2 linked regions of the Caenorhabditis elegans genome follow. The protein of the gene in region 1 interacts with the protein of each later gene in a pairwise test. Each region holds a gene or a part of one and is shown in the gene's direction. Other genes may lie near its edges.

Region 1 (5,981 bases):
TTTTTAATTTTTCAACAGTTCAATTTTTTCCGAAAACTAAAAAAAAAACTGATTAAGAGTTATATTAATTCCAATTATTTTTTCCAAATGTCTAAAATGACCTGGATAACTGAGAAGCTGCTGCTGCTGCTGGTGACGGAGATGACTCTTTTATTTCAGTTTTTTTCAAACGAGACGCACTTTGAGACCCCGGCGGTTGGACCATTTGTTTCGAAACTCGAGACGTCGAATTTGTGACCTTGTTCTCCAAATAATGATACTTCTCATGTACTGTGAATTAAAAATTTTAAATTTTTGTAGTAGAAACAACAATTAGTTGTACCTTGTGACCTCATCATTCTCATCAATCGAATCAATTTTGTTTTCGCAAAAAGTTGATAAAGATGAGTTGTCGAGTATCCTTTCGAGCTCCATATTCTTAAAAGTAACTCCGATGGACTTTGGTTATAACTTGAATATCTCTTGCAACCTTCAACATCTCTCAACTCAATTCCGGGCATGTAAGGTGCTGAAATTATGGATATTTGAACACTTTGCTATTTATATTCCCCAGACGTGAAATTTTGTGATTTCTCTGTCTAGGTCTCGACGCGACAATTGTTTTGTTAAATGCGAAAATGTGTGCGCCTTTAAAAGTGGTGTAGTCGAATTTTTGTTATTGCTTTATTAGACTCAAAACTATCTGAAAACACCGAATTTCATAATGAAACTTTTTGAAAACTTCTCAAAAAATAGTTATGACAGCTCAAAAAATGACCTAAAATTTGTTAAAATTTGAAATTTGACCGACTTGTAAAGCGGCTGGAAACAATTTTTTTGAAATCACCGTCAAATTTTGAGTATACATGTCAATTAACTTGCGTTTTCGACTACTACTTTACAATTAGGTATTTTAAAGTCGATGGACGGCGAGATTTGGTTTAAAAAAATTGTTAAAAATCTCGTCGTCCATAGACTTTAAAATACTTAAATCAAGTTGAAAACGCAAGATAATTAACTGGTATACCTACAATTAGACGGTGATTTCAAAAAAGTTCGTTTCCAGCCGCTTTACAAGTCGGTCAAATTTCAAATTTTAACTTATTTTAGGCCATTTTTTAAGCTGTCATAACTTTTTTTAGAAGTTTTATTAAGAAATTCGGTGTTTTCAGACAATTTTGAGTCTAATAAAGCAATAACAAAAATTCGACTACACCACCTTTAAAGGAAAACTATAAAAAAATTCGATGAAAAATCCGCAGATTCGAATGTTTGAAATAACTATTCTTTAAAGTGCTTTAAGAATTAAAGGCGCACACCGTTTCGCATATAACAAAAATTTGTCGTTTCGAGACCCTATTTTTGGAGCAAAAACCGCGAAATTTCAATGATTTGTTATAAAAAAGTCCGAACCAATCGTCTCCCAAGTGTTATCCGTATCTAAAATCGCACATATTTGCTGGAGAACTTCTCGTTTCATGAATGGAATCATTACAACTTCTGATACTCCAAGAGAATCATCCATTGTCTCTGAAAAATTCCAGATTATTTTTAAAAATATGTATTTAAACAATTTTAACAAGTTTAATTTTAAAAGAGTAGCTAATCAAAAATTATTTTGCTTTATTAAACTAAAAATGGTCCCAAAATATCGAATTTCATAACAAGACTGTTCAAAAATGCTTTTAAAAGGTTTATTTCCGCTAAAATCTCCAATTTCACCAACTTTTCCGTTTCACAGCGATCGGAAATTGATTTTTATCTGACTATTGCCCTATTTTGCTCATTTTCCTATTTATCTTCTGTTTTTTTGTTGATTTAATAGTTTGGATTTAAAAATTAAAATTTTAGATGATAAATTAACGAAACAACGCAAGAAAACCAATAAAAATATTCAAAATAGAAGAAAAATCAAATAAAAATCAATTTCTAACCGTTGTGTAACGAAAAATTGGGAAAATTCTATTTTTTCTTCGAAATTAATTTTTTTCTCGTTATAAAATTCGGGGTATTCGGGCCTTTTTGAGTATAATAAAGCAATAAAACTCCTCCTTTGATTGGTTTTTTGAAAAAATGTATAGAATGTTTTGAATGTGTTTTTATTATATTTTTAAAAATAAAAATATTTTAAATTAAAATTAAAATTTAATATTTAATTAAACTTATAAAACGAACAATTCTGAAATTCCAATAAATCCAAAAGCGGAGGAAAGCGGAGTGTCGTCACTTCCTCTCGTCGTCTCATCCCTCTCCCTCTCTCTACATTTTCTCTCTCTTCCATTCCATTACTTGGCACATTCTTCTGGAGATGTCACCTAGAAAACAGATGTTTTTGCAACACTGGAAGAGTAGATCAATAATAAAAGAATGGATATACAGGTGAGCGCGCACAGATTTGATCTCCACACCATAAACGATTTACAACCAATGAGGTCAAATATTGTAGAAGGCATTCGATCTACCTTATTAATGTCATTTCTTTCTTCCCTTTTTTTCAGCTTTTTTTTTGCTTTTTTTCCATAATTTGGAGGTCTGGCAATAACAATTTTACTTTCAAGCTGGAGTACCGAAATCTGAGACTTTGTTTTTTACACCCAAAATAGCCCAAAAATACCGAATTGGTAATGGGACGTTTTGAAAATTTCTCAAAAAAAAGTTATGGCAGTTGAAGGTTCTGGAAAAATGGCACATTTTCAGCTAAAATCAAAATTTTGGTCAACTTCTCGGTGTCACAGCGTCTGGAACATCATTTTTATGTAATTATCACTATTTAAAGACTATTGCGGTCTTCTATTAAGCGTTTATTCGTTGATTTAAACATATTTTCGGTAAGTGGGACACAAATAAAAGTTACATTTTTGTGCCCCACTGACAATAAATGTACTTAAATCAACGAATAAACGCCTAATAAAAAACAAAAATATTCTTTAAAAAGTGATAATTGAATCAAAATTAAGTTCCAGACGCTGCGACACCGAGAATTAGACAAAAATGTTGATTTTAGCTGAAAATTAGCCTTCTTTCCAGAACTTTGAGCCACCATAACTTTTTTTTTTGAGAAATTTCCAAAACGTCTCATTACACAATTCGGTAGTTTTGAGTCATTTTGGGTCTAAAAAAGCAAGGGTTCAGATTTCGGTACCCCATCTTTAAAATATTCAAATGGATCCAAATGCTGAAATCCCACAAAATTAAGTTTTAGAAATACAGTTAATTTCTGACGAATTTTTCAACTTTCTGCCGAAATTGATAAAAAAAACCAAAGTGCGGCACAGAAAAATGGGCGTGGTTAAGTGGCTAAAGTGCGGAAATTCAAATTATTCAAAAAAGGATATTATGAAGAAGCGAAAATTCGTCACAATCAACTTTTTTGTTAAACTCTGTAAATTTATATTGTCTGCTTTTGAATCCATTCGCGTATTTTAATTTATTCATTTATTACTTTTTCAGATGTTCACCACGCTCAACTCTACTGTTCCAACGGAACCCGTGGTGGGACCTGTGGAACCTACAGTACCTACAGTACCCGCCACAAAAGAGACTGGCCCTTCAAGCTCTGCAGAGTGCTCTACCCAACCCGCCGTTGCCGAGCAAGAAGACAACTCCCTTTTGGCACAACTTTTAAAAGGAAAAATCACGTCTGATGATGCAAAGTTGCAACCACCACGTGGACCTTTCGAATACGCACCGATGCTCTCCGAGGAGGCACAATTTGCGATTAAGCTGGCGGGTCTTCTCAACCCGAATCCGGTCACTGAACAGGACCCGAGCACTTTCAAGCCGCCTCCGAAAATGAGCAATAATGTTCGAAAAAACATTAATTTGACTCCGGTTATTGAGAATGCAGTTCCGAGTGGATTTGAACTGGAAAGTCCGAAAGATCAGGCATTTGATGTGGTTCATGGAAGACTATCTATGGGACAGAATCAGACATGTTATTTTGTACGTTTACGGTAGAAGTTCAATATTAAAATTTAAATAATCTTCCAGGTCACAGTCGAGGAAATGAGACGAAGATTGCAAAGTCCGGAGAAGCTCAATAGTTCGAGTATCGCATGCAATCTTAAAAGGCCAAAACTGAAGAATGGAGGTGAACTGATGCGCGCTCAACTGAGAGATCATGGAATCAAGGTTCAACTGAATGCGAAACAGAAGGCTTTTCCCAACAAAGTGATCGCTTTGGTCGAAGCGGAAGCTGTTCATTTGGGACTTGATCTTGGAACAGCTGTACGAGATGATTATCCAGTTCAAGATATAATTCAAGAAGTTGCTCATGAAGCATTGGCTGACGAGGATGCAGATCTGGATGCGTTGATGAATGATAAGGATTTCACGTAAGTTGACTATATTCCAATTTCTCAATTCTGACGCCAAATTCCAAATATTTCAGAGAATGTATGTCAGCACTTGAATCAGTTTTCACATCAGTCGTCCCTCCGATCACTGGAATCGAGCCAAAACCGTCGAACAACATGCGACTGAACAATGGAATGGAGACCTTTTCATCAGCTTCACATGGACTTGGAATCGTGTCTCAACGGGTTTGGCTCCCCCAATTGACTGCAATCGGAAATGGAGTCGCATCTGAACTTCGACGCTTGACAGAGACGCCAACTGAATCAAAGCCAGAGGAATTGAAAGCATAAATTCATATTTTCATATTCTGATATTTAAAACAATCTGATTACCAAGGTCTCACTTATTTTCCATGATCTCTATGATGTTTTCACTTAATTTCAATGAAACTTTTTATTTATTTAAATCCTCATACGATGTTCCTTAGTACTAGGAAATGCATCATTAAAAATGATTTTCATATTGCTAGTACGTCTTATAGAGTAGCTTCGAATTCACTTTATACATTTGAATAATATTGAATTTTATAGGTTTTACACATCATTTTGATCATTTTGATGTGTAAAACTTTGAAAAATTCATTATTATTCAAATGTATAAAATGAATTCGAAGCTTCTCTATAAGACGTACTAGCAACATGAAAATAATTTTTAATGATACATATTCCAAAACTGAAAATTAGGAATTTCTTTACCCCCGTTCCTCACGTGAAAACATTTATTGACCCTGTGGCAATGTGCGCTTGCGCGTCTGCGTCTCCAGAAGGCGTAATCTCTCGTGTTCAAACACTTTCTCAACTGACCATTTGTTTGCGTCGTTGCCGACGGCTTAACCATATGTTGCCTTTTCCCCCTTACATTTATACAAGACAGTAATATTAATAAATCGGTTTGATCTACAAAAATGCGGGAATTTTTTGGTCAAAAAATGTGACGTCAGCACGTTCTTAACCATTCGAAATCAGTTGACAGCTCTGCATCTAAATTCCCGCATTTTTTGTAGATCTAAGTAAATCCAGCTGAAATGAGCCATCTGACACCACGTGATTTACTGAAACATTATTTTCCAGTCAAAAATGGGATTAGCTCAGTCCCACTCGCGGACGCCCTCTCGTGATCCACTTCCAAATGACCATCAAGTAATGGATGTGTATGAAGAGTCTGGTCCAAGACGGGGAAGAAAACGAAAAGCGGCAAAAGGAAGTGAGATTGAGATGAAGAAAGTGGCAAAACTGAACACATGTGCATATGTATATCAGAAATTGTTTTTACAGGTTAGAATAAATTGAATTTTTAGTGCAAAATGGGTAACTAAAATATGGAGTTGACTAAATTAATGCAATAAAATTCCAAAATGAATGTTTTGTTTCAACAAATTTGAGATTTCTTCGTCACGAATCTGGTAAATTGTGTTTTTTTTTAATTTTGTAACATGGAAAAAGAAAAAACTGATTATTTAGTTCGAAAACCTACATTTTAGTATTTTTTCACTAATTATGCCAACTATATACCGTATTTCCTCTATTAGTCTTGCATGCAAGAGAAAATTGCCAAAATTGTTACTATTGTGCTGAAATTTTATTCTCAGAATTTTTAAAATTACAGGCAAAACAGGGCCACTCGTAATTTTGAACGTCTACCAAAAA
Region 2 (8,675 bases), on another chromosome or scaffold:
ACCTAAGGGACTCGTTGATGAATGAAATTCGAGAAGCTGGAAGGCTACGGGCCGCCCGTGTTGCTCAATCTGCTTAATTTATACGCTTTTTTTTGTTTGAAGAAGAAAAATGAACTGAAACTGGTTTTAATCTTATTTTCGTCGTTGTCAACATCTAGCCCATTTAATCTTGAATATTTTCTGTGATTTGTGAAGAAAAACACGTTGAATAAATTATTTTACAGCTGAATATGTGCTTTTTTAATTTCAGATTTGATGGCCTAATTGGGAAATTCTAGGCCACCAGCCATTGCCGATGAACATATTACAAATTTCAAAAAATTATTTTCTTCAAAACCAAACACCCAAATTTTTTTTAACTACCAATCTACTAACCGATTATACTAACCGATGTCTGAATAATAATATAAGCACAAAAAATTAATACCCACCGTTCAAAATCTGACTGAAATTCCAGTTTTAGTTTAGCTCCCAATTAATATGTATTCCAATTTTCAAAAAAATTATTTTATTCAAAACCAATCACACAAATTTTTTAAAACTTCACCAATATACTAATTGATCTTTGAATAATAATATAAACACAAAAAATTAATACCCACCGTTCGAAATTTGTCTGAAATTTCAGTTTTAGTTTAGCTGAAAATGAATAAAAATTCAAATTTTCAAAAAATTATTTTCTTCGAAACCAAACACCCAAATTTTTTTCAAACTTTACCAATTTACTTACTGATGTCTGAATAATAATATAAACACAAAAAATTATTACCCACCGTTCAAAATTCGACTAAAATTCAAGTTTTTCTTTAGCTGAAATTTAGTAAAAACTCAATTTTCAAAAAAACATTATTTTAAAACCAAACACCCAAATTTTTTTTTAACTTTACGAATATACTCGATTATGACCGAACAAAATTTTACGCTAATATCCAGTTTTACTTTGACTTTTCAAAACCCTCATGCGCCTTTAAACCTCGGTGTACTGTAATAACTCGATATTTTAATTGTTTTTATTGCCTTTTCCTCAACCAATGTTAGATAAAATATGTTTTTCCATTTCCAGTGATCACATGGTACAGTTATATTCAATTAAAGAAAACAATCGCGGCGAGACCCAAAAATGTACTTCCCAATTCGATCCCAATTCTTTCGCAAAATAATGACAGAGTGGACAACAAAATGTGACATGTTTGTTTTTATAAGACGTCCGCCGTCGTCTTTTTTCTGTTTACTTGCACTTCCTCGCAACGGCGTGGCCTAGGTTTTCCCACGGCCACGCTCATTTAGGTTCTAATAAACCACACTAGTGAGAGAGAGAGAGAGATAGTTGCGAGAAGAGACGGAAAAGAGCTAGAGAGGTCTCTCGTTCTCTTCATTGGCCTCAATTTCTCGCCACCACCCCCTACGTCTCTATTCCCCCAATGTCCTACATTTTTCGGATCGTTTTTCCCTTATATCAGAATCTGCCTAATTTTACGAGGTTTCGGCGCATAATATTATGTGCAATTCGAGAATAAAACTTTGAATATTTATTAGTTTAGGTCTTTTTCATTGATTTTTTCCAATAAATTCAATTTGATTTTAAATTGCTTGAAAATCGCCACCGTATCACTTTAAAGGCGCATTGCTGTTGTTTAACTTTGGGTCTCACAGCGAACCGAGTTTCAGTCATTAATTTTGATTTTTCCTTGGTTTTTTTTAAAAGAAAATTCTCAAAGTTAAAATTTTCACTCGGTTTTAAAATTAATAATAGCTAGCAACTATAATTCTGGAAAAAACATAAATTCACTTTAAATTGCCTAAAAATACAACCGTATAAGTTTAAAGGCGCATTGCTATTTTTAAGTTTGGGTCTCACAGCGAACCGAGTTTCAGTTATTAATTTTGACTTTTCCTCGGTTTTTTAAACTTTATTTGAAGAAATTCTTCAAAATTAAAATTTTTCTCGTAATATTTAATCAAAAATAATAATTAGCAACTAAAAATTCGGAAAAAAATAGAAATTGCTTGAAAAGTTTCACCGTATAACTTTAAAGGCGCAATGCTTTTGTTTAACATTGGGTCTCACAACGACCGAGGTACTGTGGAAAATTTATCGAATTTAACGAATTTATTCATTTTTATGAATATATTTCCATTTTCCTCGGTTTTCCGAAAGATTTTAAGCTTTAAAATCATCAAAAAAAAACTTAGTTGCAGATAAAAAATGAAAATGGAAGAATTCTCACCTCCAACTTCACCGAATAATCACGTAATCGTGCAGGCGAACCCGCAAATCGCCGCCGCTCTCTCCACGAATTCTGTAAGCGATTTGTGTGTCCGCTCTCTAATTATTGCTTTCTGTCCCAACAATGACTCACCGGCCAGCCGACAAAAAAAAAACAAAAAAAACGAATAAAAATAATAAAAAATCGGAGCGCCTCTCCGTTTTTTTTCCCCCGTAAACGTCCAAAGTGTATGTGTATTATTCTCATATCGATTGTGCTTCTCTTCTTCCCCCGACAAAACCATTTCCATCACAAAAGCTTCTCGTCGTCCTCTGTCCATATATATATATATATTTACTAATACTAAAAAATGTGGCCCTACCATCATGGATATCACGTCTATCACCCACATTTTCAGCCAATGCAGCAGGGAATTCCGCCACAAGGCCATCAGAATCCCAACGAACAGCAGCAGCAGCAGCAGTTTGTGGGCCAACCGCCGATGGGTGGAATGGGCGGCCCGATGAGAATGCAGATGCCACAGCAGCAAAGTATGAAGAAAAAACTCCTAAAAAATGCCTCAAATTCAGAAATAATTCCGTGAAAAATGAAAAAAAAATTGCTCAAAATTTAGCTGAAATCTCCAATTTTGTCCTATTCCGCCTATTTTAGTCGGCTATTTTACGTTTTTTCCGAAGAAAAAAGAAAAAAATCGCGAAAAAGTGAAAAAGTTAACTCGAAAAACATGATTTTTCGAATTACCTCCAAAATGAGAAATGCCTGAGCAATCAGCGATTCGCTCCGCCCACTTTTCGACCAATCAGGTAGATTGGGCGGAGTTTGAAGATGCTGATTGGTAGGAAAATACTCGAAAATTGGTAAATTAAATATTTAAAAAAAGCGATTTTTAAAATGGAATTCTTTGAATTTTTTAAAAGCGATATCTACATTTACACAAAGCCGCCTTAAATTACACCTAAATTAACGAAAAACGTGAAATAAATATGCAAATTAGGATGAAAATTGAATAAAAATCAATTTCTAGCCACCCTGGCACCGAAAAAATGGAGATTTTCGCTAGAATTAGGCGATTTTCGGAATGTCTGGTAGATCATGGTGTGATCTACAAAAAATGCGGGAATTTTTGGCCCAAAAAAATGTGACGTCAGCATGTTCTTAACCATGCAAAATCAGTTGAGAACTCTGCCGCATTTTTTGTAGATCAACGTAGATCAAGCCGAAATGAGACACTCTGACACAATGTGTGGTTAGGAAATTCGGAAATTCAGCAAAATTGGAACAGCGACCAATCAGCGACCGGCTCCGCCCACTTTTGGACTAATCAGACGGAGTGGGCGGAGTTTGTAATCGCGATTTTCTCCGTTTTTTTTTTTGTGGTTTTTCTGAATTTTAATGTATTTTTGGATATTTTTAAAGAGAGTGTAGTTGAATTTTTTTTTTATTGCTGTATTAGACTCAAAATTGTCTGAAAACATCGAATTTAATAATGAAACTTCTTGAAAACTTTTCAGGAAAAAGTTATGATGGCTCAAAAAATGGCCTAAAATTAGTGCATTTCTTGCATTTTCAACTTGATTTAGGTATTTAAAAATCAATGGACGGCGAGATTTTTAAATTTTTTTAACGATTTTTTTCCGTTTTTTTTTGTGGTTTTTCTGAATTTGAAACTATTTTTTGGATATTTTTAAAGGTGGTGTAGTCGAATGTTTTTATTTGCTTTATTAGACTCAAAATTGTCTGAAAACACCGAATTTCATAGTGAAACTTTTTGAAAACTTCTCAAAAAATAAGTTATGACGGCTCAAAAAATGACCTAAAATTAGTTAAAGTTTGAAATTTGACCAACTTATCAATGTCGCAGCGGCTGGAAACATTTTTTTTTGAAATCACCGTCAAATTTTGAGTATATAAGTTAATTACCTTGTGTTTTAAATTTGATTAAGGTATTTAAAAATCGATGGACGACGAGATTTTTAAATTTTTTAAAACCAAATCTCGCCGTCCATCGACTTTAAAATACTTAAATGAAGTTGAAAACGCAAGATAATTAAATTGTATACTTAAAATTTGACGGTGATTTCGAAAAATTGTTTCCAGACGCTTGGCTAGTCGGTAAAATTTCAAATTTTAACTAATTTTAGGTCATTTTTTGAACCGTCATAACTTATTTTTTGAGAAGTTTTCAAACAGTTTCACTATGAAATTCGGTGTTTTCAGACAATTTTGAGTCTAATAAAGCAAATAAAAACATTCGACTACACCACCTTTAAAAATATCCAAAAAAAATAGTTTCAAATTCAGAAAAACCACAAAAAAAACGGAAAAAAAATCGTGATTTTCAAATTTTACTAAAATTAGCTCTCCGCCCACTCCGTCTGATTGGTCCAAAAGTGGGCGGAGCCGGTCGCTGATTGGTCGCTGTTTTAATTTTGCTGAATTTTCAAATTTCCTAACCACACATTGTGTCAGAGTGTCTCATTTCGGCTTGATCTACGTTGATCTACAAAAAATGCGGCAGAGTTCTCAACTGATTTTGCATGGTTAAGAACGTGCTGACGTCACATTTTTTGGGCCAAAAATTCCCGCATTTTTTGCAGATCACACCATGATCTACCAGACATTCCGAAAATCGCCTAAAATCTCCATTTTTTCGGTGCCAGGGTGGCTAGAAATTGATTTTTATTCAATTTTCATCCTAATTTGCATATTTATTTCACGTTTTTCGTTAATTTAGGTGTAATTTAAGGCGGCTTTGGGTAAATGTAGATATCGCTTTTAAAAAATTCAAAGAATTCCATTTTAAAAATCGCTTTTTTAAAATATTTAATTTACCAATTTTCGAGTATTTTCCTACCAATCAGCATCTTCAAACCCCGCCCACTCCGTCTGATTGGTCCAGAAGTGGGCGGAGCGGTACGCTGATTGGACGATGTTCCAATTATGCTGAATTTCCGAAAATCGCCTAATTCTAGCGAAAATCTTCATATTTTCGGTGACTACACCGTCTCTTTAATAAGGCTTCTCATGAAATAATTCGTAATTTTAGTCCGCCAAATGCCATACCCATCACCACAAATGCGTGCGGGCCCTCCACCACCACAGCAGCAGCAGCAGCAACACTTTCAACAAATGGGTATTCCACAACAGCAGCAGCCCCAACAATTCACACCGAATGGGCAATCAATGCAAATGCAACAGAGACCAATGCAGATGGGCATGGCTCAAGGGGTACGGGGGCGGTTATTATCTGGGAAATTTGAATTTAAAAAAAGCTTCCGTTTGAGACCCAAGAAAAACCTTTTTTCGGGAATTTGGGTCCACGGGATCAAAAATCTCTGAAAAATTGTTCTAAAAAATGTTACAAAACAATTTCTGCAGTGGAGCAGCGGAGCAGCGGTGAAAATTTCAAGGCTTGTATAATTTCTTCAAAAAAAAAATTTTTTTTTCGCATATTTTGGGCATTTTTAAGACTTTTTCTGCAGTTATTTTTGGAAATCCGCTTAAAAATCCTCTAATTTTAAAATGTTTCCAGCCAGGACCATCTGGACATTTAATGGGAATGGTCGGAGGGCCTCCGCCACAACATATGATGCAGCAGCAAGGAGGTGGTGGACCACCACAATTTGTGGTGAGTTTCCGGCAAAATCGGCAAATTGCCGGAATTGAAATTTCCGGCAAATCGGCAAATTGCCGGAATTGAAATTTCCGGCAAAACCGGTAAATTGCCGGAATTAAAATTTCCGGCAAATCGGCAAATTTCCGGAATTGAAATTTCCGACAAAATCGGCAAATTGCCGGAATTGAAATTTCCGACAAAATCGACAATTTGCTGAAATTAAAATTTCCGGCAAATCGGCAAATTGCCGGAATTGAAATTTCCGACAAAATCGGCAAAATGTCGGAATTCAATTTTCCCGCAAATTGCCGGAATTAAAATTTCCGGCATATCGGCAAATTGCCGGAACTAAAAAGGCAACGTTTACCGATCGAGCTCGTAAAAAACCGGCAAATTCGCCAAATTTGTCGTGGCGTAATATTTTTTGGAGCTCAAAAAGAGCCCGATTTAATGGAAAAACTATAAAAACCATTAGTTTTGGGCAAAATTTTTCAAAATTTCCAGCCAAACTCGTCTCCAATGCCGCTGCCTCCTCAACAAATTATGCAAGTACAACATCAGCAGCAACATCAGCAGCCACCACCATCTCAACAAATTCAACAGCCTCCAATTCCACAGCCACAACAGCAACAGGCACCGCCACCTCAAATGATACCGGCCGCTGTTCCGTATGGAAGTATTATGGAAAAGGTGCAACAAAAAACCGGCAAAAATACTTAGAAATTTCGGCAAAAAAACCGGCAAAAATACTTGAAAATTTCGGCAAAAATACTTGGAAATTTAGGCAAAAAAACCGGCAAAAATACTTGGAAATTTCGGCAAAAAAACCGGCAAAAATACTTGGAAATTTAGGCAAAAAAACCGGCAAAAATACTTGGAAATTTCGGCAAAAAAACCGGCAAAAATACTTGGAAATTTCGGCAAAAAAACCGGCAAAAATACTTGGAAATTTAGGCAAAAAAACCGGCAAAAATACTTGGAAATTTCGGCAAAAAAACCGGCAAAAATACTTGGAAATTCCGGCAAAAAAATCGGCAAAAATACTTGGAAATTTCGGCAAAAAAGCCGGCAAAAATACTTGGAAATTTAGGCAAAAAAACCGGCAAAAATACTTGGAAATTTCGGCAAAAAAACCGGCAAAAATACTTGGAAAATTGATTTTTATTTAATTTTGAAATTTTTTCAGAAAAAATCGAATAAAGCTCAGATTTTCCGATTTTTTTTCAAAGAAAATCGAAAAAAATTCAGGTTTTTTCAGGAAAATTTAAAAAATTTTCTGATTTTTTAGTTTTTTTTTCAATTACAAATTTCTCTAGCAAAAATTCGCAAAAAAAAAATTTTTTGGATTGTCTTTTCATAGAAAATGAGCAAATTTCAGATTTTTCGGTCTTTTTTTTCAGAGAAAATAGGAAAAAAAATGCACAAAGAATTCACGGAAGGGGACGAAAAAGCTATAGATTTATCAAAAAATATGCTGATTTTTATTGAAAAAAGTGATTTTTTTTTTCTATAAAGTATTGAAAAATGGCCGGAATTTATTGAAAATTCGATTTTTTTTAAACGAAAAACGAAAATTTCCAATTTTTCAATACAATTTTTAAATTTTTTTTTGAACTTTGAAAAAAATTCGAACTTCTGCATACACTAGTTTTTGCTTTGCTCCTGAAAAAATAATGAAATTAAAAATGGAATTTTTTGTAAATTTGCTATTAAAAATTCGATTTTTAAATTTTCACTGAAAAAAATGCCTAAATTTTTGGTAATTTTTCTTGTAAAAATTCTTGTAAAATTAAGAGTTTTTGTTTAATTTTCTAATTAAAAAATTTTAAATTTTCGATTTTCAAGATTTTCAAACAAAAAAATCGAAAATTATAACAATTAATAAAAAAAAAAAAAAAAATAGCCTAAAATTTTCGTAGTTTTTTTTTTTCAAAAACTCTATAAAATTTTTTTTTCCGATTTTTTGATTTTCACTGAAAAAACCGAAAATTCTTATTTTAAAAAATCTTCTTTTTTTTAAAATTTTTTTTTCAGTCAAAACTGGATGATTTGATGCAACAAATCAGCTCAACAACAGTACTCGAAGAAAATGTAAAAGATGTTCTTGTGGAGTACGCCGACGATTTTGTCAGTTCTCTAATCGATAAAGCATGCAAAATGATCAAGAATCGGGAGGTGAAGAAAATTGAATCACGGGATATCGAATTTATTCTCAAGAATGTCTATAATATGCCAGTGGTACGGCGTTTTTATTACTGATTTTTATGTTTTTTTTTGATATTTAAAATGGTCTAGAAAATACGGATTTCGTGAAAAAAAAATTAGAAAAAAACGCCTAGTTTTAGCTAAAATCTCTAATTTTTGACTATTTTTTTGGAAAAAAAATCTTCTTTTTTTTGTTGATAAAAATTTTCATCACAAAATAGCTTTAAAAAACCGGATTTCGTAAAAAAAAAACGCTTAATTTTAGCTGAAATATCTACTTTTTTACCGTTTTTCGATTCTCCAGTATTAAAAATTTTACCTGAAAAATACAGAAAATCGGGTTTTTTTTTCGATTTTTAGTGTTTTTCAGAGAAAAAATGTCTAGAAAATATTGAAATATTCATTAGAAATTTTTTTTTCTCCGAAAAACCTTGTAAAATCGGAAAAAGAAGAAAAAAAAAGTGTTAGGATATATGGATTTATCAAAAATATGCAAAAAAATGTGCAAAAATGTGCAATAACTGTGCAAAAATGTGCAATAAATATGCAAAAAAATGTGCAAAAAATGTGCAAAAAATGCGCAAAAAATGTGCAAAAAATGTGCAAAAAATGTTCAAAAAATGTGC

The links.
Region 2: the proteins of aptf-2 (region 1) and taf-12 interact in a two-hybrid assay, tested with the Caenorhabditis elegans proteins (one large-scale study listed by BioGRID).

The regions. Positions count from the first base shown.
Region 1 is NC_003282.8:13,412,320-13,418,300, reverse strand, and holds aptf-2 (Transcription factor aptf-2), read left to right. Parts: upstream 1-2,249; 5' UTR 2,250-2,346; coding exon 2,347-2,358; intron 2,359-3,429; coding exon 3,430-3,921; intron 3,922-3,969; coding exon 3,970-4,313; intron 4,314-4,369; coding exon 4,370-4,625; 3' UTR 4,626-4,741; downstream 4,742-5,981. Other genes in the region: Pelle-like serine/threonine-protein kinase pik-1, read right to left, coding at 102-270, 323-508, 1,393-1,504; gcl-1 (BTB domain-containing protein), read left to right, coding at 5,412-5,609. UniProt on the Caenorhabditis elegans protein: Sequence-specific DNA-binding protein that interacts with enhancer elements to regulate transcription of selected genes. Required for neuroblast and epidermal morphogenesis, perhaps acting in cooperation with transcription factor aptf-4.
Region 2 is NC_003281.10:11,862,806-11,871,480, reverse strand, and holds the start of taf-12 (Transcription initiation factor TFIID subunit 12), read left to right. Parts: upstream 1-2,199; 5' UTR 2,200-2,206; coding exon 2,207-2,302; intron 2,303-2,625; coding exon 2,626-2,758; intron 2,759-5,274; coding exon 5,275-5,456; intron 5,457-5,760; coding exon 5,761-5,856; intron 5,857-6,348; coding exon 6,349-6,534; intron 6,535-7,878; coding exon 7,879-8,082; intron 8,083-8,675. Other genes in the region: Y56A3A.6 (WH2 domain-containing protein), read left to right, coding at 1-77. UniProt on the Caenorhabditis elegans protein: Part of the general transcription factor complex TFIID. Plays a role in recruiting taf-4 to the nucleus and thereby activating transcription initiation by RNA polymerase II, as part of the TFIID complex.